Solanum lycopersicum: one gene and its partners. Each later gene encodes a partner of the first gene's protein in a complex. Links are inferred from orthologs where the notes say so. Each region holds a gene or a part of one and is shown on either strand. Other genes may lie near its edges.

The links.
Region 2: mediator of RNA polymerase II transcription subunit 17 (region 1) and mediator of RNA polymerase II transcription subunit 31 share a complex: the UniProt entries of both Arabidopsis thaliana proteins name them as parts of the mediator complex. The link is inferred for Solanum lycopersicum from reciprocal best matches to the Arabidopsis thaliana genes AT5G20170 and MED31.
Region 3: mediator of RNA polymerase II transcription subunit 17 (region 1) and mediator of RNA polymerase II transcription subunit 25 share a complex: the UniProt entries of both Arabidopsis thaliana proteins name them as parts of the mediator complex. The link is inferred for Solanum lycopersicum from reciprocal best matches to the Arabidopsis thaliana genes AT5G20170 and PFT1.
Region 4: mediator of RNA polymerase II transcription subunit 17 (region 1) and mediator of RNA polymerase II transcription subunit 27 share a complex: the UniProt entries of both Arabidopsis thaliana proteins name them as parts of the mediator complex. The link is inferred for Solanum lycopersicum from reciprocal best matches to the Arabidopsis thaliana genes AT5G20170 and AT3G09180.
Region 5: mediator of RNA polymerase II transcription subunit 17 (region 1) and mediator of RNA polymerase II transcription subunit 8 share a complex: the UniProt entries of both Arabidopsis thaliana proteins name them as parts of the mediator complex. The link is inferred for Solanum lycopersicum from reciprocal best matches to the Arabidopsis thaliana genes AT5G20170 and MED8.
Region 6: mediator of RNA polymerase II transcription subunit 17 (region 1) and mediator of RNA polymerase II transcription subunit 23 share a complex: the UniProt entries of both Arabidopsis thaliana proteins name them as parts of the mediator complex. The link is inferred for Solanum lycopersicum from reciprocal best matches to the Arabidopsis thaliana genes AT5G20170 and AT1G23230.
Region 7: mediator of RNA polymerase II transcription subunit 17 (region 1) and mediator of RNA polymerase II transcription subunit 9 share a complex: the UniProt entries of both Arabidopsis thaliana proteins name them as parts of the mediator complex. The link is inferred for Solanum lycopersicum from reciprocal best matches to the Arabidopsis thaliana genes AT5G20170 and MED9.

What each region holds. Positions count from the first base shown.
Region 1 is NC_090811.1:1,513,704-1,518,360, forward strand, and holds the start of mediator of RNA polymerase II transcription subunit 17, read left to right. Parts: upstream 1-1,386; 5' UTR 1,387-1,495; coding exon 1,496-1,584; intron 1,585-1,683; coding exon 1,684-1,903; intron 1,904-3,351; coding exon 3,352-3,465; intron 3,466-3,632; coding exon 3,633-3,718; intron 3,719-3,840; coding exon 3,841-4,225; intron 4,226-4,334; coding exon 4,335-4,657. UniProt on the Arabidopsis thaliana protein: Component of the Mediator complex, a coactivator involved in the regulated transcription of nearly all RNA polymerase II-dependent genes.
Region 2 is NC_090802.1:52,519,240-52,524,259, forward strand, and holds the start of mediator of RNA polymerase II transcription subunit 31, read right to left. Parts: upstream 3,202-5,020; 5' UTR 3,048-3,201; coding exon 3,010-3,047; intron 2,926-3,009; coding exon 2,828-2,925; intron 2,639-2,827; coding exon 2,542-2,638; intron 2,377-2,541; coding exon 2,298-2,376; intron 1,908-2,297; coding exon 1,630-1,907; intron 1,476-1,629; coding exon 1,460-1,475; 3' UTR 1,409-1,459; intron 1,237-1,408; exon of another isoform or gene 493-1,236; intron 38-492; coding exon of another isoform or gene 34-37; 3' UTR 1-33. Other genes in the region: polyadenylate-binding protein 1, read right to left, coding at 4,629-4,674. UniProt on the Arabidopsis thaliana protein: Component of the Mediator complex, a coactivator involved in the regulated transcription of nearly all RNA polymerase II-dependent genes.
Region 3 is NC_090811.1:29,968,254-29,972,481, forward strand, and holds part of mediator of RNA polymerase II transcription subunit 25, read right to left. Parts: intron 3,524-4,228; coding exon 3,470-3,523; intron 3,245-3,469; coding exon 3,216-3,244; intron 249-3,215; coding exon 180-248; intron 55-179; coding exon 1-54. UniProt on the Arabidopsis thaliana protein: Component of the Mediator complex, a coactivator involved in the regulated transcription of nearly all RNA polymerase II-dependent genes.
Region 4 is NC_090800.1:77,932,702-77,936,410, reverse strand, and holds the end of mediator of RNA polymerase II transcription subunit 27, read right to left. Parts: intron 2,210-3,709; 5' UTR 2,149-2,209; coding exon 913-2,148; 3' UTR 733-912; downstream 1-732. UniProt on the Arabidopsis thaliana protein: Component of the Mediator complex, a coactivator involved in the regulated transcription of nearly all RNA polymerase II-dependent genes.
Region 5 is NC_090802.1:67,511,111-67,516,121, forward strand, and holds the start of mediator of RNA polymerase II transcription subunit 8, read left to right. Parts: upstream 1-2,073; 5' UTR 2,074-2,163; coding exon 2,164-2,363; exon of another isoform or gene 2,364-2,485; intron 2,486-2,663; exon of another isoform or gene 2,664-2,737; coding exon of another isoform or gene 2,738-2,793; intron 2,794-3,749; coding exon 3,750-3,874; coding exon of another isoform or gene 3,875-3,899; intron 3,900-5,011. UniProt on the Arabidopsis thaliana protein: Component of the Mediator complex, a coactivator involved in the regulated transcription of nearly all RNA polymerase II-dependent genes.
Region 6 is NC_090804.1:17,725,804-17,729,211, forward strand, and holds part of mediator of RNA polymerase II transcription subunit 23, read right to left. Parts: intron 1,817-3,408; coding exon 1,635-1,816; intron 1-1,634. UniProt on the Arabidopsis thaliana protein: Component of the Mediator complex, a coactivator involved in the regulated transcription of nearly all RNA polymerase II-dependent genes.
Region 7 is NC_090801.1:55,598,272-55,603,248, reverse strand, and holds the start of mediator of RNA polymerase II transcription subunit 9, read right to left. Parts: upstream 3,134-4,977; 5' UTR 2,813-3,133; intron 1,718-2,812; 5' UTR 1,677-1,717; coding exon 1,320-1,676; intron 1,213-1,319; coding exon 1,150-1,212; intron 1,068-1,149; coding exon 987-1,067; intron 603-986; coding exon 544-602; intron 404-543; coding exon 346-403; 3' UTR 323-345; exon of another isoform or gene 35-322; intron 1-34. UniProt on the Arabidopsis thaliana protein: Component of the Mediator complex, a coactivator involved in the regulated transcription of nearly all RNA polymerase II-dependent genes.

The DNA of each region.
Region 1 (4,657 bases):
CTAAAATAATTAAGAATTACTAGCAATAATGTCTTTTTGATTCATTGAGGAGGTGTATCAACTTCGATCGATGACGAATTTAGAATTTAATTATTATAAACTATAAGTTGAGAGAAGGAGATTTAAATTGTATATTTAATTATATTTATAGTTGAAATTAATTAAACATATCAATGATTTAAATTTAATTGCTTCAAACTTTTAGATTTTTTTAAATAAAAAATTTATTGTTCTTTTGTATTATGAAATTATATAAATATGAAATTAATTGATTTTCTTAGTTAAATTTTACATGTATATTAATGCATCGTCAAAAACAGAATTGAAATAAATCTATTGTCAAAGAATTGCATATGCTACTACAATGTTCAAAATCAAATCATTAAGTTTTATTGAATCTATGAACTCGTGATTAGACCGATCTGTTACTGTAAAAATAATCCTTAGCCGCCAAGAAAATAATGAAACTAAGATGTTTATTGTAATGTATATAAGTAAAATTTATTCACCAATCATATTTATTTGAGTTAATATATGTAATAATATTTTTAACTGTGTTATTTTCAGTATGAAAGTTATGCATGAATATAAGACGCATAACTTTTCTGTAGACCTAGTTACTATCGAAACTACAAGACGATTTGCTAACTATCGAACCTTTTTGAATATTTAATTGCATGATTTTCTTTTCAGATAGGTTGATCTTCAAATTTTACCTTTAATAATTGATAATTGCACGATTTTTCTTTTAAATAGGTTGATCTTTAATAATCAAACTTATACCTAGCGGTACATAAGTTCTTTAAGGGCACACGTGCTATAACTTATGAGATATTATGATTAAAAAAAATCTAAACTTACGTCCCACCAAAAAAGTTATTGATTTATCATAAGAGACAAAAATTGAAATCAAGTACAAATACGATAAAAGCGCAAATAACTCATTTTTTGACGAAAAAATTACATGAATTAATACATTTTAAAATATAATTACTGATTTTAGCTATATTTTTTGTTTATTACCATTTATAGCAATACTGTAATAAGTCTGTAATATGTATTAAAAGTGAATTATGTATGCAATATATATGAATTCTAATTGTTTTTGAAATATATTATGTTTGTTTGGTAAAAAATTGTCGCATTGTACTATAAGTGTATTAAAATGTGTTATAAGTGTATTATCTATCATTAAAACTTGTATTACATGTGAATAATAAATTGTTCTGTGTAATATGTATTAAACTTGTATTATAAATGAATTAAAAGTGATCAAGCGAGTACATTTACGTAAGTTTCCCTTTTTTGACCCACCAAACCAAACATGAAAGGGCCATAGTGTGGTTCGTAATAGGCCCATGATTTAAGCCCAGATCTTAATAGGCCCATACATTAAGCGAACCAAACCCCAATTATTTTCGACGGGTATTTTCCCCGATTTAGGGCACAATTCGGGATTTCTCCGACACTTCTTCCCGGAAAATCTCCCTGAAAAATGAACGGCAATCTGGAGATTTCCGTCGACAAGCTTCCGATCAAGCGTTTAGAGTATATTGAAGAACAAGGCGCTGAACGCTTCCCTTCGTACACTTTCTTTCTCTCTCTATATAAAAATGTAGAATTTCATGCATAATCAGTTTGTGAGCTGGATATTTACATTTAGATTTTTCGTAATTGTTGCAGTGATATAGGATACGATGAGAAAACGGTGAATTTGATTAGGAGAATTGATTTTGCGTGGGCAGTGGAAAGAGAAGAGCCAAGTAAGAAGCAGAAGAAAAGCAGTAGTGCTACTTCTTCAAAGGAGACAAGTAGCAGTCAGCCATGGCAATGGCAGAGTTTGGTGGAGAATTTGCGATTGGCTCATCAAGAGCTTCAAGTCATTATCGATCTCATTCACACTGTAAGTGTTAACATTAGAATTTTGGCTTATAATTTTAATGATTGAACTTAATGTCTATATAGTTTTGATAGAAAATAGTTCAAATTAAGTTTTAATTGTTCTGATATTTACATCTGGTCTGGTGTTTGTGTGGTGTCTGGTCAAAGACTAATGTGTGATAATTGTGAGATTTTGAGAATAATGAAGTTGAATAGAGAAAAAAGAATGGTGAGCAGGTTATAGGTTTGGGATTTTATTCTTTTTGAGTTGATGATTTCTAAATTAGTAATTTGTACTTAGTAAATGGATTGCATATGATACCTACAAAGTGGGCTAAAACTACTAGGTTCTGCTGAACCTGCTTCCCACACTCTAGCTCCGCCTTAATACGGAGGTTTAGTCAATGCCAACTAGTGTGCGATTGAGGTGTCGGTTGATTGATTGATTATTTGTTGGTACATGTTTAGTATGTCTTGTGCCTAGCTGGTTGTGTTCCATGCACTTACCATAAGAGGAAAACTTTGTGTTTTAGCCTGATAATGTGCTTGAAAGTGGAATACATTTGTCTTATGCTGTACTCATTATTGGCCAATTGAGTTTTTGTGGCATGCAGTTTTAGACTGAATGATACAGAGTAGTGTTTGCATCATGGATAAATGTTAATAAAATTTCATCTATGAGAATAGAGCACACTGGTTTTATTCCAATGTTGAGGTTTATCACGAGAGTGGGTTGGAACATTTTTATTTAGTTATCAATATTAGTAAGGTATGAATCTAATTCAGAAAATACAATAGAGAACTGTAAAATACACACATGTATGATCGTGAATGTACTTGAAAAGTGGTTAGAGAAAGAAGATCAAGACATCTTATTTACAACAGAGGAATTATTAACTACCTCTAAGTTGTTCCAGTAGGGAATTTCATGTGTGCGTGATAAAGAAAGGCCTTTTGGAAGGTGTAAAGTTGGATACACCACATATTGGATTTTTGAATTGAATCAACGTGGCTTTTCTAAATTGCAATAGCTACACGAGTATCAAGCTACTAAGCCACACTATGGAAGTCTGGGAAAGGGTGGTCGAGATGAGGATGAAGAGGGGTGTGTCAGAACCAATTCAGCTTGAAGCCATGAAAGGAGATTGTTTGAGCAGTATAGGGAGAAGGAGAGGGACTTGTACATGGTGTTCATTGACCTAGAAAAGGCATATGATAATGTCCCTAGCATATCATTTACTCCTCATTATCAGTATGATAGAGACAACTAAGGATTAAAAAATTTGACTTAAGCTTTCGGCATTAGTTATTTAAGTGGCATGAGATTCGTCAGTCCATTTGCTCCTTCAATCCCTTTTTGCCCCTTCTCCCTGGCATTTAAGACAGCACCTTTCTTAGGCATAAGATGAATAAATTAGCAGGAACTGTGGATTATGTATTGCATTGTTGACTCTGCTGTTCTGCATACAGGTGGAGGCAAACGATGCAGTGACAGTGGCTGGCATGACCAGGCCAAAGCAATTGCCCAACGAGCATCTGTCAGACCTTGCCGTGTCTATGGCAACCAAGCTGCAATGCTTCCGTGTATTTTACTTTATCCCTTCTGCAAGATGTTATGGTTGATGTATAAGTTTGAGTTAAACAAATAATCCACTGATTATCTTTAAGTCTAATGGTTTGTTGACAAAGTATAGTTATGCACTTCATTAGCAAAGCTGTATGTGTTTCGTAATTTGGCTTTTCTTTTGCAGCATTTGGGGAAATATTTTAAGCAATCTGCCAAAGCTTTGGAACAACAAGTGGCTAGAGAAGCAAGATTTTATGGTGCTCTTATCAGGTTTGTTCTTTGTGGCTACGAACAGTATTAGTACATTGTGAAAGATATGTGTGCAGTCATTTAGACTACCATGTCTTTGTGCCTTTCCTCAAAATTTTGGCTATTTCCTGATGAGCTGATAGATTGCAGCAAAATTGGAAGGTTAAATGGCATCGGATGGTTGCTGCTGCTTCTGGAAATGAAGGGTTTTACATTGATTTATTTGACACTTCATTATATGATCCAGCGGTTGCATTTCGCCCATCTTCTGCATCTGTGGTGCGTATTGAGCATGACCCAGCTGGGATGCTGGCTGTGAATTTACCGCCAAATTCCTGCCGGACTCTTCAATTTGAGTTTCTCGGTGCAAGTACACCTGCTGGTGTTATAAAACATAGCAGACTGAGACCAAAGGTGTCTTTTGAGGATTCTTCTGGAGAAACTAAGAGAGAAAAAAGTGATGATGAGCATGTGAGAGAAACTCATTCGACACTCCGTGAAGTTCACCGAGCAATCTTTGATGAGCAGGTATATTTCTAGGTTCCCTCCTTTCTCTTTTTAGTACCCTTTGAGTTTTTCTTATTCATTTTTGTGACCTACTTCTGTTTTCTGATTATTTTCTTGGTCCTTGTTGCAGGTGTTTGATTTGGTTAACCGTGAAGCATTTAATCCAGCTTTGGGTGCTGACGTGACAGGAATACAAGAAAACTTGTTACGTTTAAGTATAGGTCAAAGAGCTTCTCTGTCCATTTCACTTGTACCATCTGCTGACGATGGTCAGACAGCTAATGCTGTGGGTGATGAACATCCAGAAACTGCTATTGTGCCTTTTGAATCAGTTGATGCTTCAAAACAAGATGAAGGGAAACTTGACTTGAAAAAGTTGGGGTTTCCCAATCGAATTAGTTTTGAAATTTATTTGCAACAACTTTTTCATGAACATGTGTTTATAAAAGCCAA
Region 2 (5,020 bases), on another chromosome or scaffold:
TAAACATAGGATGTAGTCTAATTCCAGGGATGATCACCTACAAGTGTGGTTGTGAAATTAGATTCCACAAATAGGATGCAACATAGCTTTTATAGGATGATTAAAGAACCAACGCATAATCAGAATATTTTAACACAAAGTAATATGTTCAGTGTAATGCTCCTATAGAACCCAAAAGCCATTCTTAAATTTAAAGAACTGACATTATCAAGATAATGGAAGAAACACATCATATGCTCAATAGGAGTATTACCCAATTTTCCGCTTAAGCATATATAAGTTTAATGAGTCGTCACAAAGTCGCAATTAGGTCAATTTGACCAACCAGAATAAAGTATAAGCACAATACTTGATTTTACATTGGAGAACTATGTGTTAAGTAAATAGGAAAGAGTACATCTTGTCGAGAAAAGGACACACGGCATAGTTTCAAACTGAAACTCATAAATATATATGGGGAAGCACTTCACTTGACCAAAACGAGAAAAGAGATGAGTGATAACATGAAATCCTTGGAATTCCGTTAATGAAAGTGATACAGCTAATATAATTTTGTGTGCTGCACTTAATTTCAGGTCTATAGATCTAGGTTGTACCGATTCTTAAGTGTCACACCACCCAATTCAAGCCAAATGGATAAAGTTCCTCTTTTGTTAGTTTTCTGGAAAGACAGTAGGCCCTTGAGAGTCAGTACCTGCAACTTTGAGGACACGGAATTGGAACAGTCGAAGGGGAAAGAATAACTACAAAGGCAAAGGTGATTATAGGAATTCGTACAGGCTAGCCGAGGAGAGGGACCGTAACCTTGCCCAAGTGAAGTGCATCAAAGACCATAAATACTCCTCCCATTTACCATAGATTATAGGCAAAGGTTCATATACTTAGACCACACTAGAGAAGTTGCTCCTTCATTTATCATCAAAATCTGAAGTTCACATGTCAATATGGTGATTCGAATTCTTCACTCCATTGATAACCCATTACTGCTATAAGTGTGCATTGGCAATCTTCCAGTCACCTATCACCAGATGTCTGAGCTAAGCCTAAAAAATTAAGCAATTGAAACCACAAACGAGGGCATCCCAAAAGAGTTCAAAGGCAGGCTGCTTCCTTTCTGTTTTGGTTACTTGGTTTGGGAATAAAATTAGTTCTACATTTATTTCTTAAAGAAATTTGATCCTAGTGAACCCAACAAATGTGTAGTTGATCTCTCGCAAAACTTTAGCACTATGTTTTCTGACATGAGAAAGAAAGTACAGGTCATTGATCATGCTTGAGACTTGGGAAGGACTCTAAAATTCAATAAACAACAAATCACACTCTTAATAGGATTTCATTAATGTGTTTGCCAATGAGGAACTGCAACACCTATTCGAAAAATGAAATCATGGGGTGCAAAATGTATTACCTTAATTCATAAATTAGTTGATAGGAGGTCTGTGCTATGAGTAAAATAAAATTATCCGTCTTTCCTGCTAAAACAAAATTATCCAAGTCAATAACCATTTCAGAAACATTACGTCACAAATCTAACCCTAAAATATAAAATCATAACAAGAGGGAGCATGCAACAACAAGCATTGACAAAGTTTTCACAGTAAGAGAAAAGTAAAAGAGGAGAGGAAATACTTTCTCTTTCTTCGATCAACAGAAGCATTCCTTGGGTCCGTTTTAGCAAGACCAGATCCAGGAGGGATGGCATACTGCATCGGGGAAAGAGCTGCAGCTGTAACAGGTGTAGGAGCAGGAGGTGGAGCAGTTGGAGGGGCTACACTTGATGGTAGTGATGCAGGTGGAGCAGAACTTGGTGCAGTTGCAGGCTCAGGAAGCGGCCGCGGCAAAATATGTTTCAACCGGTTATTTCTGTAGTTCTTCCAGAAGTAAAATTGCTGCCTATGTGCTACTTCCTAATAGTTGTTACAAACATGTAGATCAGATCCTATCACAGATTTATGTGCCAGAACTTTAGGTTGGCAAACAAAGTGCAATAAATAATAAACAGTGAAATGAGATGAGATGTCCTCGGGGCGAGAATTAACCTCGACAACACGATTAAATAATTATAAGTTTTATGCCTAGAAACTACGGGAAAGTTCAGAAATGGAAATAAGGCTAATGGCTAAGACAATGAAGTACCATGTATTATAAAGTGTTTTGGCAGCATTTTTAGTCCATAGAAACTGTGTTTACAGAAAGTGGGGTGAACCTTCTTTATAGTGGCTGACAGTCTTAACTAACTAAAGAGTATAGCAAAAGTGGAGAAGGAAACCAGGACAACACATGACATAACTTTTTACCTTGTTAGCAGGATGAGCCATTGCATTACGAAATGTTGGATTTTGGAGAAGCTCGAGAAAGAATAGGCAGTGTGGATACCTGCATTAACATCAAGAAAGGAAAACCAATACGATTAGTTAACGATATCCATAGTCCACAGGAAACAGAAAAGGAACAAGGACCATCATCCACTGCATCTAAAAAGTTGCAGTAGAAAGAACATACATAACTATTATCACATATTAATACTATAAACTAACTTACATTATAAACTTTATGTACTCAGGTCGTTGCCAGTACTGAAGGTACTTCAAGTACCCAATAAAAGCTTCATCTTCAAAATATCTGTTCTGAGCCAAATCTGCATCAGAATCAATACAAAGTCCACAAAACAAAACAAAAAATGAAAAAGGGATAGAAAAATTGAAGCTTTTGCAACCCAATATTCATTTTCACACCAACAACATATATAACATAAAACTAACAATAATTGGTAAATACCCAGAAAACATCATGTTTAAATAAGAGAAGGGAATAGATAGATAGATACAGTGAATGTAAGTTGGGTTAGCAAGGCATTGAACAAATTCGAGTTCGAGTAAGAAACGTTGGCGCCCATCATCGGGATCTTTATAGACGCTTTTCTGCCTGCAAATTGGAACAGAAAAAACAGTTGATTAATGTGAATTTGCGAAGATGCAAATTGATTTGAGATGAATTGATTCTGCTTACGGTGATTCATGGGTTTCTGGATTCGATGTAGAAGCCATGCGCTAAACCCTAACTAATTCTACTTTTCAAAGTTAGCCGTTGATTGTATTGCTGCGCTATATATACAAAAGGAAAGTCTGAAATTCATTGCATTTTTAAGATGTAATGTAAAAATGGATTAAATTCATATTGAAATAAAATTTCAGTGTTAAAATGACATCTTGTATTTGATTTTGATCCTAATTTTTATTTGCTCAATATGAGTGTGTCATTAGATTCATTTACTCACCTAGATTATACAGTCGATCAGATTGAAATGGTTAGAAATCTTTTTTTTAAGTGAAGTCATAATTCTCATATGTGATTATACCAGTGTTACTAAAGATGAAAAGCGCAAAAAAGCTCTTACGATCCATGGGGAATTTAAGCGCAAATAAAATGTAAGCTTTGATGAAAAAAGACGCAAAGGGAGGAAAAGAGTATAAGTATGCATGTTTAGTCCAAAACTAATAACTATAAACATGAATATGTCAAATATATGATCAAAGAAATTGAAAATAATTATGACAAAGTGAAATATCAGTGATTTAACTTCACTGTCTCATAAGAGGCTCATTGGTAAGGTGACGTTTGCCTTAGAACATTGGTGAAGACACTAAAGTGCACATAAAGCGACGCGAAGCCCTCAACACGTTTTTGAGTCTCGCTTGCGCGCTTTATATCTAAGTTTTGACCAGTTTTTTATTAGTATGCATGAATTTTTAAGCTTAAATTCGTAGTTATATAAATGTGAAAATTGTGATTTTAGTCCAAGGGGTTAAAAAAAAAAGGGCGATTTTGGATGCAACCTTCATGATTTTGGTTTGGAATAAAAATCTTATATCACTTTTGATATTTATAAGCTTGAATTCAAGTTGACTCTGTTTCGGTTATTTCTCAAAGAAACATGTCTACGGGCCACAACTGAATATATGTGTCATGAAAGAGAGGTGCATAATACCATGCCTAAAATGAGCATGGAAATTGGGGGTTTTGGACCTACAACTACGAAATCATATTTCGATGACCAATGTTTCCAACCAAATTTTAGATTTGTTTACCCTTTATACAATTACCAATTTGGACTACTTCAATTGGTATGTCCATGCTTTTTCCTATTAACAAGACGCTTTACCATACACTACAAAATCTTCATCTCTGTCTATACCAAAGCATTTTGTATCTACCCTAACATGGAGTAATAAATAGTCCTTTAATAAAATTAAACACCATTGGTCTTATTGCATGTAGCTATTAGGATTTGAAGTTGGGGATAAGGAGGTTTAGGAGAGGGGAGCTTAAGAGTGACCAAACCACAACCATACATAATTCAGACCATCTCCAACAAACTGTCTATTTTATTTGTCTTTTCCATTTGCTGCCCAAAATGCAAGCATCTGAGCAAGCTAGCAAAGAAAAAAATTCTCAATCCCCAGAACCTAAAACATCATCCACAGAGTTGAAATTTATGTCAGCTAATGACTTATTTGAATTAGAACATCCTTTGCCCTCAACCAAAGAGAGTAAAACAAGGAGATGCCCTTTTCACAAAGCGAGCTCCATGCTTCTCTAGGGAAGGCTGCAATCCAGCTTAAAATTCACTAGTATGGCCTGTAGCGGATGGACCGTCTGAACCTTGGAACCCTTCTGCAAACAAGATGACAACACAATACTTGTTAACTAAAGTTTGATGTAATCATCAAGCAGGCATCAGCTTGAATTATGTCAAGACAAAACATGACAACGAAAGTGAACATCAAACAAGAGAGTAAAATTTGCACAACTGTTAAGTTATAGCTTATAAAAGTGAAGAGTCAAGGAGGACAACTTAGGAAGGAACACTGTAATCCAGATGAACAAATATCTGAAAATTTATTCTTCCATTAAATCTAGGGAAGTTCAGCTCTCTGTTGAAGGGCATAAAAAGCATTCCCACCAATTTAAGTTCACTTTGATATTAAAACGATTAGTACCAGCCTATCGGGAACTCGTT
Region 3 (4,228 bases), about 28 Mb from region 1:
CCATGCTGGTTCATTGCCCGAAAAACTAGAAAATCTGCCTTCCCAACATATTGTCTGATCCAAAACAAAGATGTAATTTTCATAAAGCAGTAATTGCACTGTGGACGAATAATAAGAAAATGTTTCTAACATGAAAAAGATCCACCAAGCAAAAAATTAATTGATCTAAAATGAATTACTTGTTATTCATGTGATCTTGGGAAATAAGGCGAACAATTTGCATTGTTGGAGGCCAATTTGCAGCAAGCCTGACAAAAACACAAAGGACAAATCAATTCCAAGTGTTAATACAGTTAAAAAAACACTGCATTATGGAAGTGAAAAGAAGACTAAAGATGCATAACAGAAAAACAAAAAGATAATTTTCCAGAAATGACATCATTTGCTTCAAATACATAAGAGCATCCTGTATATCATTCCTATGTAGCTACCACAAATCGAACAAAGAATCACATTTGGTTTAAGAACTTCTACATCGACTAAACAATTATAGCTGAAAACTAAAATATGAGTTAGATTCCTTCCACAAATTTATTAGTTACCCTAGAGAATTAGATTCCTTCCACACATCAATTCAATATAATGCAATCCGGAGAAGTACAACTTTCATCAAAGGAATCACAAGCATCCAACTAATGCTGCCAGCACACCCCAAAAATTTGTCATCGCTTAATCCTATTTTTCAAACACTTCAAGATTGGCTAGATCTCACCTGCCTATCCAACGCTAGAGTACATCTGAAAAGAACTCTATTTGTCTGCTACTTACTTCCATTCTTAAGTCTACCAGGGAAGCAATTTCTCATCCAGTATGGTTGCACACAGTGATTGAGGAGATGTCCACTTTACACGCAAGTGGTATTTGGGAACTTGCCCTTCATCCTTCAGGAAATCTATTGTTGGCTATCGTTGGGTTTATGTAGTCAAAGTTGGTCCAGACGGCCAAATTGATCAGCTAAGTCCCGCCTTCTTGCCAAAGGATATCATCAGATATGTGGCTTAATTGTGGTGGTACTTTCCCTCATGTGGCTAAAATAGCATATGTCCACCTCTTTCTATCCATGATTGTTGTTCGCCATTGTCCAATTTATGAATTGAACATTAAGAATGTTTTTCTCTATGACGACATTGATGATGAAGTTTATATACAGCAACCACTATGTTTTGTTGCTGAGGGGATGTCTAGTGGTAGTGTATGTCGATCGTACTGGTCACTCTATGGTTTGAAACAATCTCCTCAAGCCTGATTTAGTAAGTGCAACATAGTTATTTAGGAATTCAGCATGACTGGTAGTGAAGCTGATAGTTGTGTTTTATCAACATTCAACTTCAAGTTTGTGTATTTATTTAGTGGTTTATGGTGACAATATAGTTATTATTGACAATGATTGTGATGGTATCACTAGTCTAAACAACATATCTTTTGGCACTTTCAGAAAAATAATTTGGGTAGAATGAAGTTACTTTCTAGGTATTGTTTTCCTTTTTTAATGATGAGAAACCCGCAACCGCTACCCTTTGGATGCGCACTGGGTAAAATCCCTCACTTCTATGCAATAGCTTACGAACCACGCAGGAGAAGTTACCTGCATTAGGCAAACCCGGTGAGACGAGCTCGACCAAGAAGGCAAACATCTTTTTTTGCTAGCAAGGGGTTTCGAAGCTGAAACCTCCAACATGGAAGTCCAAAGCCCAATCAATTGGGTCTTCCTGAAAGGGTATTTTATTCCTATTTCTTAACAAAAATATGCTTCTGAGATTCTTGAAGAGATAAGATGGGCTGTAAATCCAAAGGCACTCCTATGGAACTGAATGTTAAGCTTATGCTACGACCCATTGACACTCGAGGCTCAAATCCATAAGCAGATCATTGGATACACCAATGTTGATTGGTAGGGTCACCTTCTGATAGACATTCTATGTTTGGTAATTGTATTTTAGAAGCCAGCAATTTTTAGTGCGTTGTTAAAGCAAGAAATAGAGTGTCGTTTCTCATTCTAGTCCAGAACATAATATCAAGCAATATCTATGACAACATGTGAGCTAGTTTGGAGCAAGTGGGTGTTGAAGGATTGAATTTGAAGAAGTAGGCTAGCAATCCGATTTCATAACTAGTTGGTACGTTCGAATAATAAAAAGAAGTTCTCTTTCTAATCCTATTTAGATTCTGTCGGGTGAATACAATCAAACAGAATCCAATTCTGATGCAAAAATTCAAATTAAAAAATGAAATAGAAAAGATACAAAATCAAAAAAAAAAAAATCACTAAAGGTGGGTTGTAAACCTTATTAGATACCATTGACTCTGGTATCTAATTAGTTTTACATACTATTGGATTTGAACCAATGACTCCCACCGTATGAAAGCAGTACTCTAACCACTGAGTTAAGTAGGTCATTTATCATCCCAAAGAGAACCAAATGAAACCCATCCTGTCGATGGATTATAAATATCATATTACTTGTAACCAATACTAATATAAGGAATACCACTCAAAGAGATCAAAGATTCTTGATGTTACATCATGGAATATTTCTCTTGACAAGATTGAGAAAAAATTGTAAAGGGAAATGGGTTATAGAATAATGTCTCAGTTGTAGAAAAAAAGAATTTTATAAAAGATGAATCCCTCAAGAAACAAGTTTCTAAGACTAAATCAGGAATTCCTTGGTGTCTCTACCATTTACTGATCTTGCTAAATTTGAGAGATCAGTGCATCATGACAACAGAGTTCTTTAGGTGTAAAATAAAAGATCTTGCAATTCGAAGATGGAAAAGACAGTAGCATAGCTAAACTTACACTATAAAATACAACTACCAAATATCCGTACAACTTATGGAAGACAAATATATAGTCCCTTCACAATCCAACAAGGAATGGGAACGTTGCAACAATAACAGCAGACCCATTGAAATCCGACAAGTGGGGTCAGGGGAAGGTAGAATGTACGCAAACTGTACCACTACCTCGAGGAGCTAGAGAGGATGTTTCCGAAAAAACCCCGGGTCAAGTGCAGAAAATCCAAGTACAAAGAAGGAGACAGTGAAGAAAATATAGCGAGTAACAAGGAAACAGTGCGAGTCTACCAGAAGGAAGCAAGACAACAACAAAACAGTGCGATAACTCAAACACAAAAAACAACATAGTAGGATTGTTTATTGTAAGTGACATTGTGAAATCACTAAATCAAGCATTTATAAAAATGAAAACTTACGATTCAGAAGCTGAGGCACTCCTATACCCCTGCCACAAGAAATTGGATCACAAGATTTTGTACAGTTAGTAGAGATCCAGCAAACCATTTTACAACATGAAGAGATAAGTAGGCAATACTTCATGTCTCAACACAAAAGCTGGATTGCCTTCTTTAAGACACTATCACTTAATGATAACCATTAGAAAAAGATCAAAAAACACAAAAGAACTTGTAATCACTAGAAGTTCCAATAAGACAAGTTATAAGCATACCTCCAATCTGGTAATAAATACAGGCTGCCCCTGTCTCTGACCAGATAAGTTTCCCTGCAACATTTTCATTACAAATTATCAGGAGTACTTCATTAACATCATACAGAAATGTAGAGCTTCTTGTAGGTAGTTTCTAAAAGAAAACAAGATATGGGAAAACATGAATTCGATCGGGATGACGAAAAATTATAGCAAAATAATCAGAGTTCTTGAAAAGAACAGCAGTTCAAAAAATTGAATAAATACCAACCCAGTTTCTCATTGTAGTATATAACTTGCATATTATCACACTATTCAAGGGTATAGACATATCCTCAGTATAAACTATAAGTTCAAAATTGTGGTCTTACAACCTCAAATATGATTTTGCTGGTTCTGCGCAAAGTCTAAAACAATTGTTTCTTTCAAAAGTTAAAGTAATTGGTTATGCATCAGAATAAGTTCTATCCTCAGCCCCAAACATCAGAGCAACCATTAGCAATTCACTAATATTATGTTATGGTTCAAGCAAATCAAACTGTAAGGTGCCTTAGGAAAACTCAAAACAGTGCACTCAAAATAGTTCTCACAGAAAAAGACTTCGAAGCATTAAAGGCCTGAGCTATCTTTTACCTCACCAAGATAACTATACCAGAGTTAACAAAGCATTAGAGGAAAAAAAAAAGCGAAAGAGCCAGCTGAATTCAAAATTATTACCCCTCTCAACTATATGCATATCACTGAATTCAACAAAAGCAAAAACTACATTGCTTATCTGGT
Region 4 (3,709 bases), on another chromosome or scaffold:
TAGAATAAATTGTGAATAGCATTGAAAAATGCAATATTGATGATAAAGTTGAAGATAATACTATATCTTTGGAGCTAGCTACGCTTAAGGAAGCATTTATCGCATCTAAAACTCTTTATAATTTTATGATGCAGCTCGAAAAGACAATACCAGAGCTCTTGGATGCAATAAGAAAATTTAAAGATGAGCTTCAACTAGATTTAAATTTTAAGAAAAAACAGAACACAATAAAATCATATTTCACTAAATTTTCTTAGATGTATTTGATCTTGTAAAGAATTATTAATTTATGATATTAATGGAACCACATATTTATATAAAGGTCTTCTAGAAATATATTATTTCATTATCTTATCGAAATTGATGATTTCAATCCATTGATCTAAGTCGAGACAAGAGAAAAACATTATTTTATAGAGATTATTAATTTATCGAATATTTACTGTATGTCCATTAGCATTATAATTGAAAAAGATGTAAAGGCATATCAAACAGAGGAAAATAAGACTTGTTAATTGTTATTCAAATTCTCCTATTTTAAATTCCATTAATGATTAGACCAATCTAGAAAGGCTAAAAAAACCAACAGCTTTAGATTGCATGAATTAAAGCAGAGCATAAATAAATTAATCATACCCCAAAAAAAGTTTGTTTCGATCTTTTGGAAATAAAACAACAAAATAAATGACTCTCTGTTAACTAACCTTCGTTAGTGACTTCAGAAAAGATCACTTGTATAAAATTGTCATTGATTTAGTAGGATTTTAAAGACCTCAAAAAGAAAGTTAAACGTAACTAATCTAAAGTTTGGTGTAACAAATACAATCCAAAGAAACTTCGTTAACCAACCACTCTCAGGCCACATACTACATTATAGGTTCGGAATTTCTTTGTACAATGGAGCTGATTTTTCTATGCTTCCTCAGAAAAGCAGTCGATGTGAAAACACTGACTAGAATCCACACTTGGCTCCTCTTTTGACAAGAATTTTCCAGCAGAAAAGTTTCGGTAAGGGCGATTAACAGGGGGCAGTAGCATGGCAGACTCTTTGTCCATTGATAGTAGACGGCTACACTTGCTGCAAGCTTTCGAGAACAAAGTCTGATAGCTGCAAACCCACAGCAGCAAAGAAAGCAAGGGTGACTCAGTACCAACACCTGTAAAATGCTGTAAAGCCATAGCAGCATGCTCCGTGATGTGCCTAAATACATGATGAACGGAGAATCCCCTCGCATGAATGTAGCTACCACCCTCGTTTGGCGAGAAGAATGCTACAGCGTCGGGATCCAAGGAACCAGCAGGGGAAACTGATGCTATGGCTCTAAAAACAGAAGGAATCAACAATTCGATTATAGCAACCTTGTCTGAAACATCATCATCAGATGATCCTTGTCTTAATGTTCTCGTGCTTTGGAAAGTACTCTCTTTTGATAATTCAATAGAATTTTCACTGGTCGAAGAGGGCAATGAGGTAGCTCGCAACAACCAATCCAAACGCCGGTAAGAGAATGTTATTACATTTGAGACCTCCTTTTTCAGATGTGTCAAAACTTCAGACACTGATTTCAGTTCACAAGTTTCTTCTTGATCACTTGATGGAGGACCACGAAGTTTCTTTGTCACACCCTCCCCACCATAATTGGTATCAAGGTGGGGGAAAAATCGTCTTTTCTGACCATTGAAGGCCTTGAGAGCTAACCTGGTCCTATCAACTGCAGATGCACCAGCCTGACCAGCAAGTTGTCTCTTCCATGCATATGCAACAACAGCACCATCAGGACAAACCAAAGGCATGTGGAGGCCCCATGAATTACTTCGTGATCGGAGGGAATCATTGAGGACACCAGAATCTTCTAACTGTCTTCCAACAGAGCGAAGCTCTTGAAGGTGTTGTCTCATGGAAGCTTCTTCTTTGTGGATAAGATGCAAAGGTTTAGAAGAGTGTTGCCGCTGAGCTGACACAAATAGGGCTTCCAACAGCCGATCTGCGCCAATTCTAATATCAGCTATGAGTCGACTCGCCTGCCCCAGTCGCTCCAGTGCCATTGCCACCTGCTTTGGCGGCGCATCTCCACTCATCTCATTGGACTCCGCAGCTGAAGCTCCTTGTACCGCCGACGTGTGTGATGATAGTGTTGATTGCTGCATTTATGCAAGTCTGAACCTTGGGAGGTTTTATTATTGGCAATTATGCTCCGTGGATGAGGTGCTGTTTTCATTTTTGGAAAAAAGAACTGAGTGAGAGTCCACCTCAACCAGTAACCATAAAAGACGGTTCAATAACAACAATTCATCACATCATATTTCCAAAGTCTCAACGGTCACCTCAACAAACTCATTTTGACATCACCTAGCTTTAAACATGCAAGTGATATCTACTATCGTGCTTCAGAATTAAAATCCTACCAAGAACCCCATAAAACAAGGAACAAGTACATAAAGTAGCGAAGGAAAGCAAAAATGAACCAGAACCTCAAGCTAAGAGGACGTACGAATGATTGTAGCCTCCTTTTCCACTTTGAAGAAGGAGACCGTTCATCACTCAACTTTATAGGACAACTTGATACAGCAAACAATCACTCTGTATTTTTTGTCCAACTGTACAGCTCGGACAATATACCCCCAGAATGAGGGGGCAAAGGATTTTTACAGCTATTCCATATAGATAATTATAGCAACATGTAAAGAGGTTGTCTGAGTAACTGTAGCCTCCTTTTCCACTCTAAAGAAGGAGACTGTTCATCACTCATATGCTGTAGGACAACAGGATACAACAAACAATCACTTGGTATTTTTTGCATTCCTTTTTTGTCCAATTGTATTGTATGAACAAAGGACCCACAAATTGAAAAAAAGAGAAGAGTCTCTACAGCTATTCCATATTTCACAAAATTATACAGCGACACACTAAGAGGATGTACGTGTGATTATAACCTCCTTTTCCACATTGAAGGAGGAATATATTCAACAGAAAAATTTTGTAGGACAATTGGATATAAGAAACCATCACTCAATATTTTCTGTCATCATTTTTTTTCAGACTTTAGGGGTTTCGATGTGATCTATCCATCTTGACATGCAAGCACAGCAAAGTCTGTTAAGTGCATATATATAGTTTAAGTGACAGGTAGTGGATTTCCCTCTTCTATCAAGAAAAGGTAGGAATGGGGGATGGGGGATGGGAATAATGACTTTGAAGTTCCAATGCTTTCAGATTCAGGAAAGTCTTTTATGTTAAGACACAAAATATGTAGCTTCTACTTCAGTAGTTTGATAAATATATTGCCGTTAACCTATACAGCCAACTTCTTCCATAAAGGGAAGAGAACGTGCCATATACAATTATCCTTTCCACTCCATCCTTTTTCTATCAAGCCTTTTCACCCCATCCAATTGCTCTTTGTGGAAGATTATCTTCAAAAGTTGGAAAACTGCTGTGCAAAAATAAAGCCAAGGTGTCTTCGACTATGTAGATTGGAAAGATTTCAACTTTGTAAGTCAGTTCTTGTATGTTTAATAATAAACAGGGAAACTATCAGTTGACCAAATAAAAACATGGTAATTGTTTCAAAAAAAATTAAAATCCTAAAATGGAAGCCAAAAGCCCAAAACCAAAAAACCAGTACACATCTGGAGAACTATAGTATTCATGTCAAAATAATTGTGAAACAATAAAAACAAGAAAGTGGATCGTGGACAACCAAAGAGG
Region 5 (5,011 bases), on another chromosome or scaffold:
AATTTTCACATGTAAATAAAATTTTGGGCAACTTTCACATATAGCAAACATAAAATTCATATTTGTATGTTATAGCAAAGTTTACATAATTGCACTCTATAGCAAACATATAAAATTTATAAGTCTCTATACATATACAATTGAAGCGAATTGTATAAAACAAGAAAGAGAAAGAAACTTGTCCAGAGAATTGTATAAAACGAAGTGTATTAGACGAATTGTATAAGTATAAGTGTATAGAACGATTATATACAATTTGAATTTGTATAACATGAGAAGGAGAGAAAGGCAAAAGAGACTTGGGCAGGGAATATACAATTGAATCGAATTGTATAAAACGAGAAAGAGAAAAATTATATACAATTTGAATTGTATAAAACGAGAAAGAGAGAAAGGCAAAAGAAACTGGGCAAGGGAGTTTTTTTATTGTATAATTGTAAGTGTATATGACGAAAATATGTGTATTTGCATGTTTATATACAATTTTCTCTCGCTTTATATAAACGGAAACACAATTTATACATTTCATTTCTGTTTGTATAAGCGAGAGAGGCGAGGGTGGCGAGTGAGATCTGGGAGAGGGGAGAGAGGGGAACAAAAATATATGTATTTATACAATTTCCTCTCACTTTATACAAATAGAAACATATTTTATACACTTGTTTTTGTATAAAAGTGAGAGGAAGAGAGCGAGAGAGGAGAGTGGCGAACAAGAGTTTGAGGGAGAGAAGTGACTGACAAACAATTTGCTACGGGACACAATTAAATCAAAGGGTGGTTATAACAATTAATTTGATTTATTAGTTTGCCATTATATACAACTTTCCCTAAAATTTATAATCACATCATTAAAATTTATTATTCTCACCGACATAAACTTTATTATTTTCGCTAACATATAGTCACTTTAACTCACACTTCACGTTTGTTGAGTAATAAAATTTTGAAGAGCCTGTGAAATGTGTTTCATTTTTACACGAATATATTGATGAAACAATTACTTTAAGTGGAGAACAAATAACATTGTAATCATTTATTATACGACAGCAATACGAAATCCCATTGTTCCAACCTCCACGGATCCACTAGTCACCTCGAGGTTCACCAACGAGCAACAATGAACAACTAACCCACGTTGCTCTTTCATTTTCTCCAATTCTAGCAAATTCTTGAGCTCGAAATCACCAAAAACCAACCACAAAGTCACCAAGGACCCATTTCTCAACCATTTCCAACTAAAACAACCATCAAAAAATGGATCTCGACTTGACCCAAAACCCATTCATTTTTTTTTCTTTTTTTTTTTGGCGAACAGCTGCATAACCCAACCTTTTCAGGCCCACAAAACCCCAAATTCATTTGCTGTATAAAAACACCAGCGAGCCATCAGAACTCACACCACTATCGATACCATTCTTCGGTGAAACACCCATCAACAGTGAGCTCACAGACAGTGGTGAGCCACCACAAAATCTGCTACCTAAGGCCGAAATCTGGCCAAACCGACACCTTTAGGTCTCCATTCGATCCAGCCATGAAATGGCAAAAATCCACCGGAGAAAGCTGCCACATCCACCATTCCTCTTGTCGGTGAGACCATAAACACTTTTCCCTCACACGACTTTGTCTCCTTGTCGCCTCCGTCCGCCGCATAGATCGTCTAAAGAAAATGAAAGAAAAAAAATGGTTGAGCATGGATAGTTATGCATGAAAAAGTAGGTGGGTGGGTGAATAAAAAGGGTTTTTTATTTTTTTTCTTTTTTTAAATTAATTGTTCTATATTTTGATAAATTTTATAATTTTTAATTATAAATATGGTGTTCAGTTGCTTTTACACGCGTGTAATCACTCTCTCTAGCCAATTCAAACATTCAAATGGCACATAAGTTTGGTCAATGGTTAGAGGGTTCATTAAATTATGTTTTATTGAATTCAGGATCTAAATAACAAAAGGATAAGTAGAACGGTTCACAATACAATAACATACAAATATAAGGGTCCACCATACCATTTCACCTTAAATTAAAAATAAAACTAATATTATGGTGTTTAGATGGAAAAAATTATTAGAATTAGTAAAACTTTAGGTATGTACATTTTGAATAATAAAATATAAACATATAAATGCGTAATGAAAATTGCGGTTGAAGAGGGTTGGCGACCATGGAAGGAGTAGTGGCAGCTCAAGATCAGCAACAGCAACAGCCACAGCCGCCCAGGGTGGTGGAGGGTCTGAACCCCGCTGTTCAACAACAACTGAATCTCGAATCCGTTAAAACTCGAGCCGTTAGTTTGTTCAAGGCTATTTCTCGCATCCTCGAAGACTTCGACGCTATCGCTCGCACCAATGCTGTCCCCAAATGGTTCTCTTTCTCTTTAGTTCATTTCTTCTATTTTAACTGTGTAGCAGCAAATACAAATACATTGGAGTAGTTAAGTTGACTAATACTAATATCTACGAGCTGTATTAGCCCCCAAAATGAAGGTGAGTGAGACTAGATGATATTATTCTATCCCGTAGTACTAAGAGTTTAGAGTAGTCTATTTTTTTGTTAATAACCCTCAATTTGTTTTACCAAGCACCTCCTCTGACCTCTCTGATTAGGATACACTATGGTTTTATTGGGTAATTTCGGCTAATACAACTATGCTACCAAATGCAGGAAGTTTACTAGTTTGTCATTTAGGGATAGTTTATTGACAACACCAAAATGCATTTTGTGGGTTCTCCAGCCAAATGAGTTTCCGGTACTGTGTCTTCACAGGCTGGGATACCCCTGCTGAACTTTTAAGGTAGCCATTTTTATTCTTTGTCAATTTAGGCTGCGAGATTTGTTGTCATTAGGTAGGTCAGGATGTTGTGATTCTGTGTATATTTGGAGATGTAATTACTGAATTAAGTATAACAAGTTTGGGAATGCATGCTACAAAATACTACTTCAACTTTGATGCCTCAATAGTGCAGTTAATATCCTTCCATGAGCCTAGACTCACCAGGCAAGATTACCTTTTGGTTAGATGAACATTGCTACATAGGACATCACATTCTCAACCACAAATCATCTTCAGACAATTCCCTGGACACATCTCGGTTAGTAGGAGGTTACACAGTCTCTTCACCAACTTTCTTATACAGTTTGGGCTTGGATCTGCATATCCTTGTCCCCAGGTTTAGAGTAGTAATAAAGATCTGTGTGAAAAGGAGAAGCGCCTTATTGATGCATGTGGATTATCACAGTTGATCTCAATATTCTCATTATCTCCCTTAACAAATGAGAGTAGACCTTCACTCTCTAGCATTTATATATTATTCAACCCCACTTATAATAAAAAATCCAACCTAAGATATACTTGCACATTCGTTTTGTAGAAGGGAATGATATATAAGAAGATCAACTTACACATTTGATATTGATTTCCTTTGGTATCTTATTGTACTGCTGATTTTTTTCTTTTTCATATTATTTTTGTAAAATGAAATCCAAATCTTCAGCGTCATATATAATACCCTTTTCACGCAAAATCTGATCTGCCTCACTCTTTTTTTTCTTTCTATAGACACCATTTAACTTATTTGGATCTCGTTGGGAATTGAGATGAAGTGTTTTACAGTTGATACTTGATGATTATTCTTAAGAGTACTGAAAAAAAATATGGTATATCTTTATGAGGAATATGTAATCAGGAATGGTTTTCCAACTCATTTCTCATATATGTTAACATTTAGTTTTAATAATTCTTTTTGCTAGGCAAGATATTTTGGGGCAATTTTCTATGGTGAATCTTGAGCTTTATAACATTGTTGAAGATATTAAGAAGGTCTCCAAGGCTTTTGTTGTTCACCCCAAGAATGTAAATGCTGAGAATGCTGCAAGTATGGACTTATTCACTCACGCTTGGTAAATTTGTGAAGTTGGACTTCTATTATCCTTTCTTAATTATACATGCTAACCACTGACATTTGTCGTTGCATATAAGCAAGTACATAGGTAGTGTATAGGAAAGTGAATCACCGAGAAGGTTGGTGTCTTAATTCTTCTCTCCTCTCGAATGCTACCTAAGGGTATATACATATTTAGTCTGGCTGTTAAGTTGCTCTTTATCTAACAGTTTCACTTCTTGCTGACTTGCTGAGGTTAGCTTGATATACATGTATGCATAACTAGATAGCACGACAGTCAGTCACTATTGCTAGCAATTCTATTTCCATGTGGTGAAATTGTTTGAGCATAATCAATCAATCAATCAACCACACCCAATATCAAATTAGTTTTTTTTTTTTTTATGAAGTAAGTTGTTTCATTACCGGCATCAAGAAGATGCTAAGAGTACAAAAGTAGATATGCTAGTTCCGTTACATGATAGCAGTTAAGACACGGGAGCCATCCACCAATTCAAAAAATCTAGAGAAGGCTTAAAACATGACTATGTCTGGCCTAGAGTTAAAGAGCTAATAAAATCTAAGAAAGTAGTGTAACTATTCACATAAGACGGGTTGGACCAACAAAAAAGAATGAACAAACATTTAGCTTTGAGTGAGTGATTAAGAGTTGAAATTCCATCAAAACACCGTTGATTCCTTTCTGTCCATAGGCACCAAAAAATACATGCTGGAATCATTCTCCAGGTGTTCCTGATGGCCCCATCAACTATCAAATGGTCCCAACTCACAACAACTTCTCTGATAGTTTGAGGCATCACCCAGTTCAAACTGAATAGGGAAAGGAACACATGCCATATGCCTGCATCCACCGCACAACGCAAGAAAAGATGATTTACTGATTCTGCACTTTCCTGAATTTCTTTTCCAAATTTCTGATAAGGTTAATGAAAGAAATAAGCATGTATTTTTTGGGCTGTGGAGTATATTTGTGTTGACAGAAAATCCGAAAGATGCTTTCTGTCTATGTTGCTCAGACTCTCAGTGGGTGTGTATCGGATTTTCCAAAAGTATTGTATTTTTGAAGAATTTGACACGGGTGCGGCATCAAAAGTGAAGAGTCCGCGCAGC
Region 6 (3,408 bases), on another chromosome or scaffold:
CCGAAAGGAAGGAGAAGAGACAAAAAAAGAATAAGAAAGGGTTGCGGCAGCCAGTAAACAAAGAAATCTCCTCTTTTTCTTAAGATGCTGAAATCCCAAAGCTATTATAAATAGTTGTTGATTCAATGGAACTTCCTCCTAGAGCAGGACATATTATTTCTTACTTCTGATTCACTCCGCTTCAAAGGAAGCTAACTTCAATAAATTGTCTTCATTTCGGATTGCAAGATGCAAGAAAATTGTTGGCAATTGGTCGGCAATGTCTGCTGGTAGTGGAAGCTACTTGTGTCTCCATCAAGATCTTAGAGGGCTTAATTATATGTTAAACAATGAGAAAAGAAAAGATGTTGGCAATGAAAATGATGAATTTCTTGATAATTCCCAGAAGCATGCTGGGGTTTAATAAATTTATAAAAGTAATCCTGAAAAGTAAAGTAATTCTTTCTCTAATGACAAAATTTTAGGAAGCATTTGGACTTAGAATTTTACCCTTTTTTTCCTGAAGAATTATTTCATTTTTTTCAAAATCAATGTTTGTCCATGAAAATTCCAAATACAATTTCATGTCTTTTTAGGAAAAGAACATTCAAACAACGAAATATTATTTACAAACATTATAATCACACAAATCCATCTTCAACTCGACTTTAAAATCCCAAATAAAGTCAAAAATATTCGTAATAGCATGTAGTAGCTCGTGTATGGATCTAATCTATGACATTATGTGACTATCTATTTTGAGATATTACTCTTTTAGAGCAGATTTGAAGGTATGTTTTAGGATAATTAGTCAAGTTGGGTGATTTTTCTAGTTTGTAGAAATTGGGGAGTATAAACCATATCTAGAAAAGGTACATGAATTCTAAATATTCTTTGTAAAACGTGTGCCCAAACACAACTCCAACTGCAAAAACTACAAATAAAGTAAAAACCATTTGTTACACAGCCAAACCCCAACTTAAGAACTCTAAATCATTCCGATATATGTAATGAATGGGGACTTCCCACAATAATAATTTCCTAATTTTTAACAATTCTGAAAATGCTAACACTATAAATCACTTCTTTCTTATACCGAAGTGCCTTTGAGAGCAATTTTTGTTGCACCACTCAGCAACTTCTTTGTACCATATTTGAGACTAAAGCAGGTGTGGTGGCTAATTCATCTTAAGATAAAATATAGGCAGCACGGTGCTTAAAATGGGCATAATCAGTTTGATATGTTGGAATGTAAGCTAGGCTTGTATAACCCACGTGAGTATGAGGTGAAAGGGAAGACAACACCAGCACCTTCCATCTATTTTTGTTTGCTTCCAGAGATGTTTAAGAGGTAATTATCCGGGTGAAGGGATGGACAGGGGACAAGGGTAGGCAAGGGATTGTGGAATTTTATACTTCATACTTGGTAACTAAGTTAGCTCTTTCATGTTTTCTTTTTACATGGCAAAACAAGGACTATTATGCAGGAGAACGGTCAAACATGAGCATATAATATCTCAGCCTATGAAATTAAGAAAAGATGAGAAAATAATCTAGGTTTCTTGGAATACTGTAAATCAAAATTCAAATCCCCTTAACCCCCTACTGATCCTACATTAAGAGTAAAATGAACATAAACTCGAAAGAAGTTGTACCTTACTGAAAAGGGTATGAGCGTTTACCAACCTCGGAAGCAAGGGACCCATAATGCGAAATGATATTCTTAATACTGCAACAGATGTCACAGGCCTAAGGTGCTTAATGATAAGATGAGTTCCCTCGAGCCATTCTTGTGGGAGGTTACAGAAGAAAGCATGTAGCAGTGCGACAATATTACCTAAAAGACCAACGATAAAATCAGTGGACCGAAATTCCATGAAGCAAAAGACAATGTTAAGAAAGGCAAATAGCAGCTAAATTGTAAGTAGAAAAGGAAAAAGAATACTGTTGAAAGAAAAGCATGATGCAATAATATAGCTACCTCAAATGCAGTGTTATGAAACACAATCACTTTTCGCTTAAAACGACTGAAGTAAGGTGAGGGTTAATGCACTTCAGTATGTCAACATAAGTTGGGTCCAATGATGCGATCACATTTGCGCTCAAATGCAGGTAACTTGAGGCGAGAAGCGGATGTTTGTTCGAGCATTTTTTTTTCATTGAGATGATTGTTCAAGGAACAAAACCTTGAACTGCTTTAGGGGTAATATTTAATGAAAGATTAGGAAGAGACTAAATTAAGGTCCCCCTAGAATGATGCTTAGTAATGGATTGGAGTGTCAGTTACGCCCGAAATAATTAAAACCTATGCTTCTTAAATCTATCAAAATCATCATCGTGCCCGTGTCGAAACTACACGATTTGGGTGTGGCTATGGGATCCACACTAGATATGGTTAACCTAGCTTGGGTGCTTTGACTACATCTAAGACCTTAGAAATATAGTTCGACTAGAAATATTGTTAGGATAGTAATAGGTACATACAATCCTTAGTATGTAGTGTCCAACTTAGAAAAGGATTGTATTGTAGTGTCCTAGATGGAAAAGGTGTCTATTGAAGTGTCTATACATAGGGTGTCTCTGTAATAATCTAGAAACAACAATTCAATAATATTCTTTTCCTTTATTTCTCGCATATATCATATTATATTTACATAAAATAGAAGAGCTTTGCTATTATATGGATAACTTATGAAAAAAATATGAAGTGTTCACACAGATTTTAATTATACTAGTGTCAATTTAATAAATTCAATAAACTGTCAAATACATACCAGGCACTTTAATTGAGATCTGTCAGCTTTTAGCTTAAATTATTCAAACTCAAGGTTTCAGATGGGTGGATCCGGCAAGGCTCCGGACCACACCCAATAGGGGAGGATATCATCTATTACAATGCAGGGTTCGAGTCCTACGACATTACGAGATGCAAAGACGAGGGTGGAAAATGGTTTGAATGGGTGGAGCGTAAAAGAAAATTAATGAGAGGAGTGAAAGTTAGCATTAAAGTCCTGAAATGGTTAGTTGCAGTATTTATTGAGGCTTTAAAGACACACGGAAGGACAGTAAAGAGGTGGAACATGAAAGACCACTTTGCAGAATTTTATTGCACTCTTAAATACAATGCAAGTGGAAGATACATCAGCTTTATAGCATTACAAGGTCAAAACAAGTCTGTCATAATAACTCCGGAGTCCACACCCAAAAAAGGCTGGGGGAATATAGCTCACAAGATTGTTGGGTTCATTTATGAGCCAATCAAAACACAGGGAACAGCAGTGAAGGACAGAAAACAGCTTCACAAGTCTTAAAAAGAAGTCCTCTTCCAAGATAGATGGATGACGGAGGCAACAGATAAGGCCGAAATACAGAGTACAGCGAACAAAGTAAGAATCACAGGTGGTGAATCGCAACCATTCAATGATCTCT
Region 7 (4,977 bases), on another chromosome or scaffold:
TTTGATGTAATTAGATTTAAATACAATCAGTCAGTTAAGAAGGCAATGCATTACTTTATCATAACCTTGGCCCAAAACATTTTATGTTCTCAGTACAGTCAGAGCAGTCATTTGTGGCGAGCGCCATAGTGATTACAACAGTAACATCAATAAAAATTTCTCATGAGCACTTTATTCTCATGTATTACAACAAACTACAAATTGACTGCATCCAGAACACTGCATAGTTGTTTCACTTGCATCTAGTAAAATCAAAATGACAGGTGATTCAACTCAACTTCTTTTGGGCAGGCCAAAAACAACTTGCAGCGCATAATTTTACCTTGGTTAAAATGCGAGTATGAGCTATAGTTCAGAGTTAATAATCTCCTCAACTGAGCCTTTGTACCTCGAAATAAGATCCCTGTAATTAAGCATGAAACATGACCATCAGATGAAGCAAATAATAATTATACAAATTTCAGTAGACAATATTAGAAACACACACACACACACATATATATATGTGTGTGTGTGTGTGTTTTATATATATATAATACAAACCTTCGCTGATTTAGCATTTGTTCGCACTCTGCCTTTTTGCGCTTTTGTCCCTCAACTGTCTGTCCAAAGAACACAGGACTGGTCAATTATCTTACCCATATTTAAGCATCAAAACATGCAACCAAATAAGAATTTGTGGAGCAACTTTGTTCAAGTCAACATCGTTTCAAACATATTGAACCCCACTTTTCAGTAAAATTCTTCACAACTATAAGTTGAACAAACAGGCCCAAATGGAAAAGCACAATTAAAAGCAATAACACTGCCAAAAGAAAAACAATCCAACTCTTCCAGAAAAGAATAATTTTGAAGTTCTGTTTTCATATTATTGCGCTTAACTCTTTGTTGGAGTCTCTCTCTTTTTTCTTTTTATTTTTTGAGTTGGGGGTGTGTTCAGAACAAGTTACAACAGAAATCAAAGGATATGTGTGAAAATGAAATACCATAGATCTTGAGCTAATAGACCCTGATATTGATGTCAACAGCTGCTGGCACTTCTCAAACTGATTTTTCAATTCAGTTACCTGGTGAGGAAAAATACACCCGGTTTAATGTAGAAGAAATGGAAAACTAACATATAATGCATCAATCAAGAAATGAACAAACCAATGCATCTGAGTGCTGATCTCGATTTCCATTTTCAATTGTATCAGCTAAATTCTCCACCAGCTGTAAGATGACAATAAAAGTTAGAACAAAAGGTCTCACTAGGAAAGAGAAATGTCTCGTTACTCTATTAAAATAGCAAGCTACAGATCATGGTTTTTGCCCAATACTTGTAAAAGATGGAAGTGAGAGGCAAGTGATTGGTGGTGCTGTTGTTGTTGTTGCTGCTGCTGCTGTTGTTGTTGTTGCTGCATTTGCTGCTGCTGTTGTTGTTGTTGCTGCATTTGCTGCTGCTGCATCTGTTGCTGCTGCTGCATTTGTTGCTGTTGCATCTGTTGTTGATACCGTTGTTGTTGTTGCTGCTGCTGCTGCTGTTGTTGCTGATAGAGCTGCGGTTGAATGAACTGTTGTTGTTGAAATTGCTGTTGCTGAAGAAATAAATTGTCTTGATTGGAGGGTGTCGAAGGATTACTGTGAGTTTGGATGTTGGGGATCATTGTCCAACTTCCTCCTCCAAAGTGGTCCATAACTAATGGCTGTTGAGCTGAAATCTGTTGGTACTTTGGTTCTAAAATGGATAAAATTAATGTCATCAGATGTAATCAAGTACTACACAAATAGCCAAAACTATCAAAGCATGAACTGGCCTAATGGACTGAGTAGCAAAGAGAAATAATTCCTAAGATTCTGAAATGTACAAACCACTTCAAAAATATATTTCCCATCATTCCTAAATGACATTTCATCCACATCTTATTACAAGAATAGTTCTTTTGTACCAAAGAGAACAAAGCCATCAAGTGAGACCCTCTAAAACTGAAGCCCATCCCTCGTAACAAACAGTAAACTCTTCTTTGAAATTTAACAAACAGTAAACTCTTATCTCCAAGTAAAAACTACCATGACATCTGTATAAATTTGGTGTTCACATTGTTAAATCAATAGGTACATCGGAAAAAATTACTGCTGCAACTATGTCTTTTTGATAAGGTTAAAAATTATCCTTGAATGGGCATCGGGTAGATGCCAGATTACAAAATATGCGACCGCTTAGCTCTAATTCGGAAGGGCATAAAAAAAATCTCAGCACTCATACAAGTATCCTAAACTAAAGCTAAGGAGCTAGCAATCCCAAGCAAACCAAAAGGGTAGATAGTTATTAGTATGCACTAAAAAAGTTTACAAAACCTAAAACTGTAAAATTAGATAGTTATTAAAGTGAGAAATGAATCAATCCCAACTGCACCTCTTACTCTTTATCTCTAATTTAGCTCAGTAATCAAGAAGTATGCCTCAATCCCGAATTAGTTTGGGTTTACTATATGAATTCTCTCCATTAGAACCCCATCTATTCCAATATTCAATAATTTAGGTTTTCATAACCCTAGAGGTTCCCTATTACTAACATACAAATATCTCTCTATCTATGAAATTAACAGTTTTAGGTCAAAATCACAACCTCAAAATTTCCAACAAAAAAGAACTCTAAATCTTCTGAACAGAATCTTCGTTTGCTATAACACTGACAACCAAACCCTTGATTTAAGCCGCCACAAGAGAATGAATTCACAACTATACGAAGCTAAACTTTACTGAAACCACAACTAGTACAGTTAATAACAAAGCAGAAGTACGATGAGAATTACAAAACGAGAAAGATTACCGGAGATGAAAAGGCCCGATCCGGTTAAACCCCAACGGAAAATCCTCTGTTTTTTCAAATAGCAAAATTGAAATTACTCCCGCTGTCCCAATTTGTGGGGAGGTTTCGATTTCAAGAGCAAACAAGCTAATTTAGAAATTTTAACATTTTCTATAGTATAAAATTTAGTATGTATTAAAAAAAAATAGATAATTTTTAATAATTAAAATACTAATTCAAAATACATAAAACTCACTTTTCATTAACCGATTTGATTTATATATGAACTAATATTTTAACAAACTGAAATAGATTGAACTAATAAAAAAGTAGATCACTAGTGCATTCAAATTTGAATGAATTGTATTTAAATTAAGAGGAAACAACACAAAACACACATTTACATTTGTGTTATTTATCGGTTGAAACTATACTTTCTAATTATATTTTCTCTTAGAACTTTACAAAATAGATACATATGAGTCAAAATTAGATATAATTTATTCTATACACTTGATATCTAAGCATGTTTCACATGTATTCAAAAGTCATTATAAAGAGATTGATAAATAAGTACAGTCAAATAGAAAAACTTGCATATGATGTTCATTGATTGGAAAGTTTTTTAGACAGAGTCTTGAAGGAGGTTTTTTGGAGATGTTTGGAAATTGGAGGTATGTAGAAGTCTGATATCAAAACGGACACTTTTTAAACCCTAAACACTAAAAGGGACCCTCTATAAAACACACACCAAATTTTTTTGGAGGTCCCTTTGGGTGTTTAGGGTTCATAAAATGTATGTATTAATGCCAGACTCTATGACGTATATTTAGAAGATCAAGGACATGTATGAAGGAGTCAAGACCTAGAAGAAAAAAAAGCACTTTTCCACTATGAAGAGGTTGCACCAGACATCAACTTTTAGATCAAAATCATTTATCTTGATGATGAATGAATTAACGCGATATATCCAAGAAAGTGTATGATGAGTATGTTACTCGCCAAATAGTGGCGGAGCCAGAAATTTCGCCGAGGTTGTTCAAACTTTAAAAGAGTCGATAATTTTTTTAGCGAAGTGGGTACACAAAATTTATTTTTGCAAATGTGTGAGAAATTAAATTACACATCACTTAGTAACTAAATCTTGCGGAAATTTAAAATGATAAAACTATCGATGGAATAAATCAAAACTAATGGACAAAAGTCACAAAATAATTTTTGCTTGAAATATACTCCCTCTAGTTCATATGAAATAAATTGTCGAGTGTTTTTTGTAATTTAAATAACTGAATAGTTCAAATATCGAATAATGTATGATGAGCTTGAGTCGAGTCACAAAAAGGGCTATGATGAGCCTTTTGAGAGTGACTTTCACGATTATGATGAGTTTTTTTCTCCTATTTTCAAATTCTTAACTATTTTACTTTTTCTAAATAGAAAGATACTTTAGAAATACTCAAAAGTATAATAATAAATAATAATCTTTAATTTTTTCTTTAAAATAAAATCTTGAGAATGTGTATACCTAATAAGTCACTTAATACAGATCTCTTACACATAATTGAAAAGAGAGTGTGTTTTATGTTTTAAAAAACATGTTGCAACTGAGGACCTCTTGCACGTAAATGAACATGCTTACCAGCAGACCAATAGACTTTGTCATAGGTGTTCAATTAATTATATATCGCAATATTATATAGCATTTTATTTATATATAGGGTATAATTTGGCCAAAAACATTTTTTAACTATACCCGAAATCTAAACTACATCCTTAAATTATTATTTTTAGCATAAAACATCATTTATCTATACCCCAAATTTAAGCTACATTCTTAAAGTATCATTTTTAGCAGAAAACATCCTTTAAGTATTTGTAAGTGAACAACTTTCATCCTTTTGTTAGATATTGTCAAAAACTAAGGGATCTTACAAAAACATGAGCAGTTAACGCGACTATCAACAAAAGTTATTATGTATAATTTCATTATTTTCTACAAGAAGTTCTTGAAAAATATAAAAAATCTTAGACATTGTTGCTTATGGAAATTAAAAATGATTGAAAGGTGTGAGCGTACATGATTCGCCTTTTCCGTAATTGAAAAAGGTTGGAGATTAATTATTTTGAAATTTTAGCCAAAATCATCATTAAACTATACCTCAAACTCAAATTACAGCCTTAAAGTA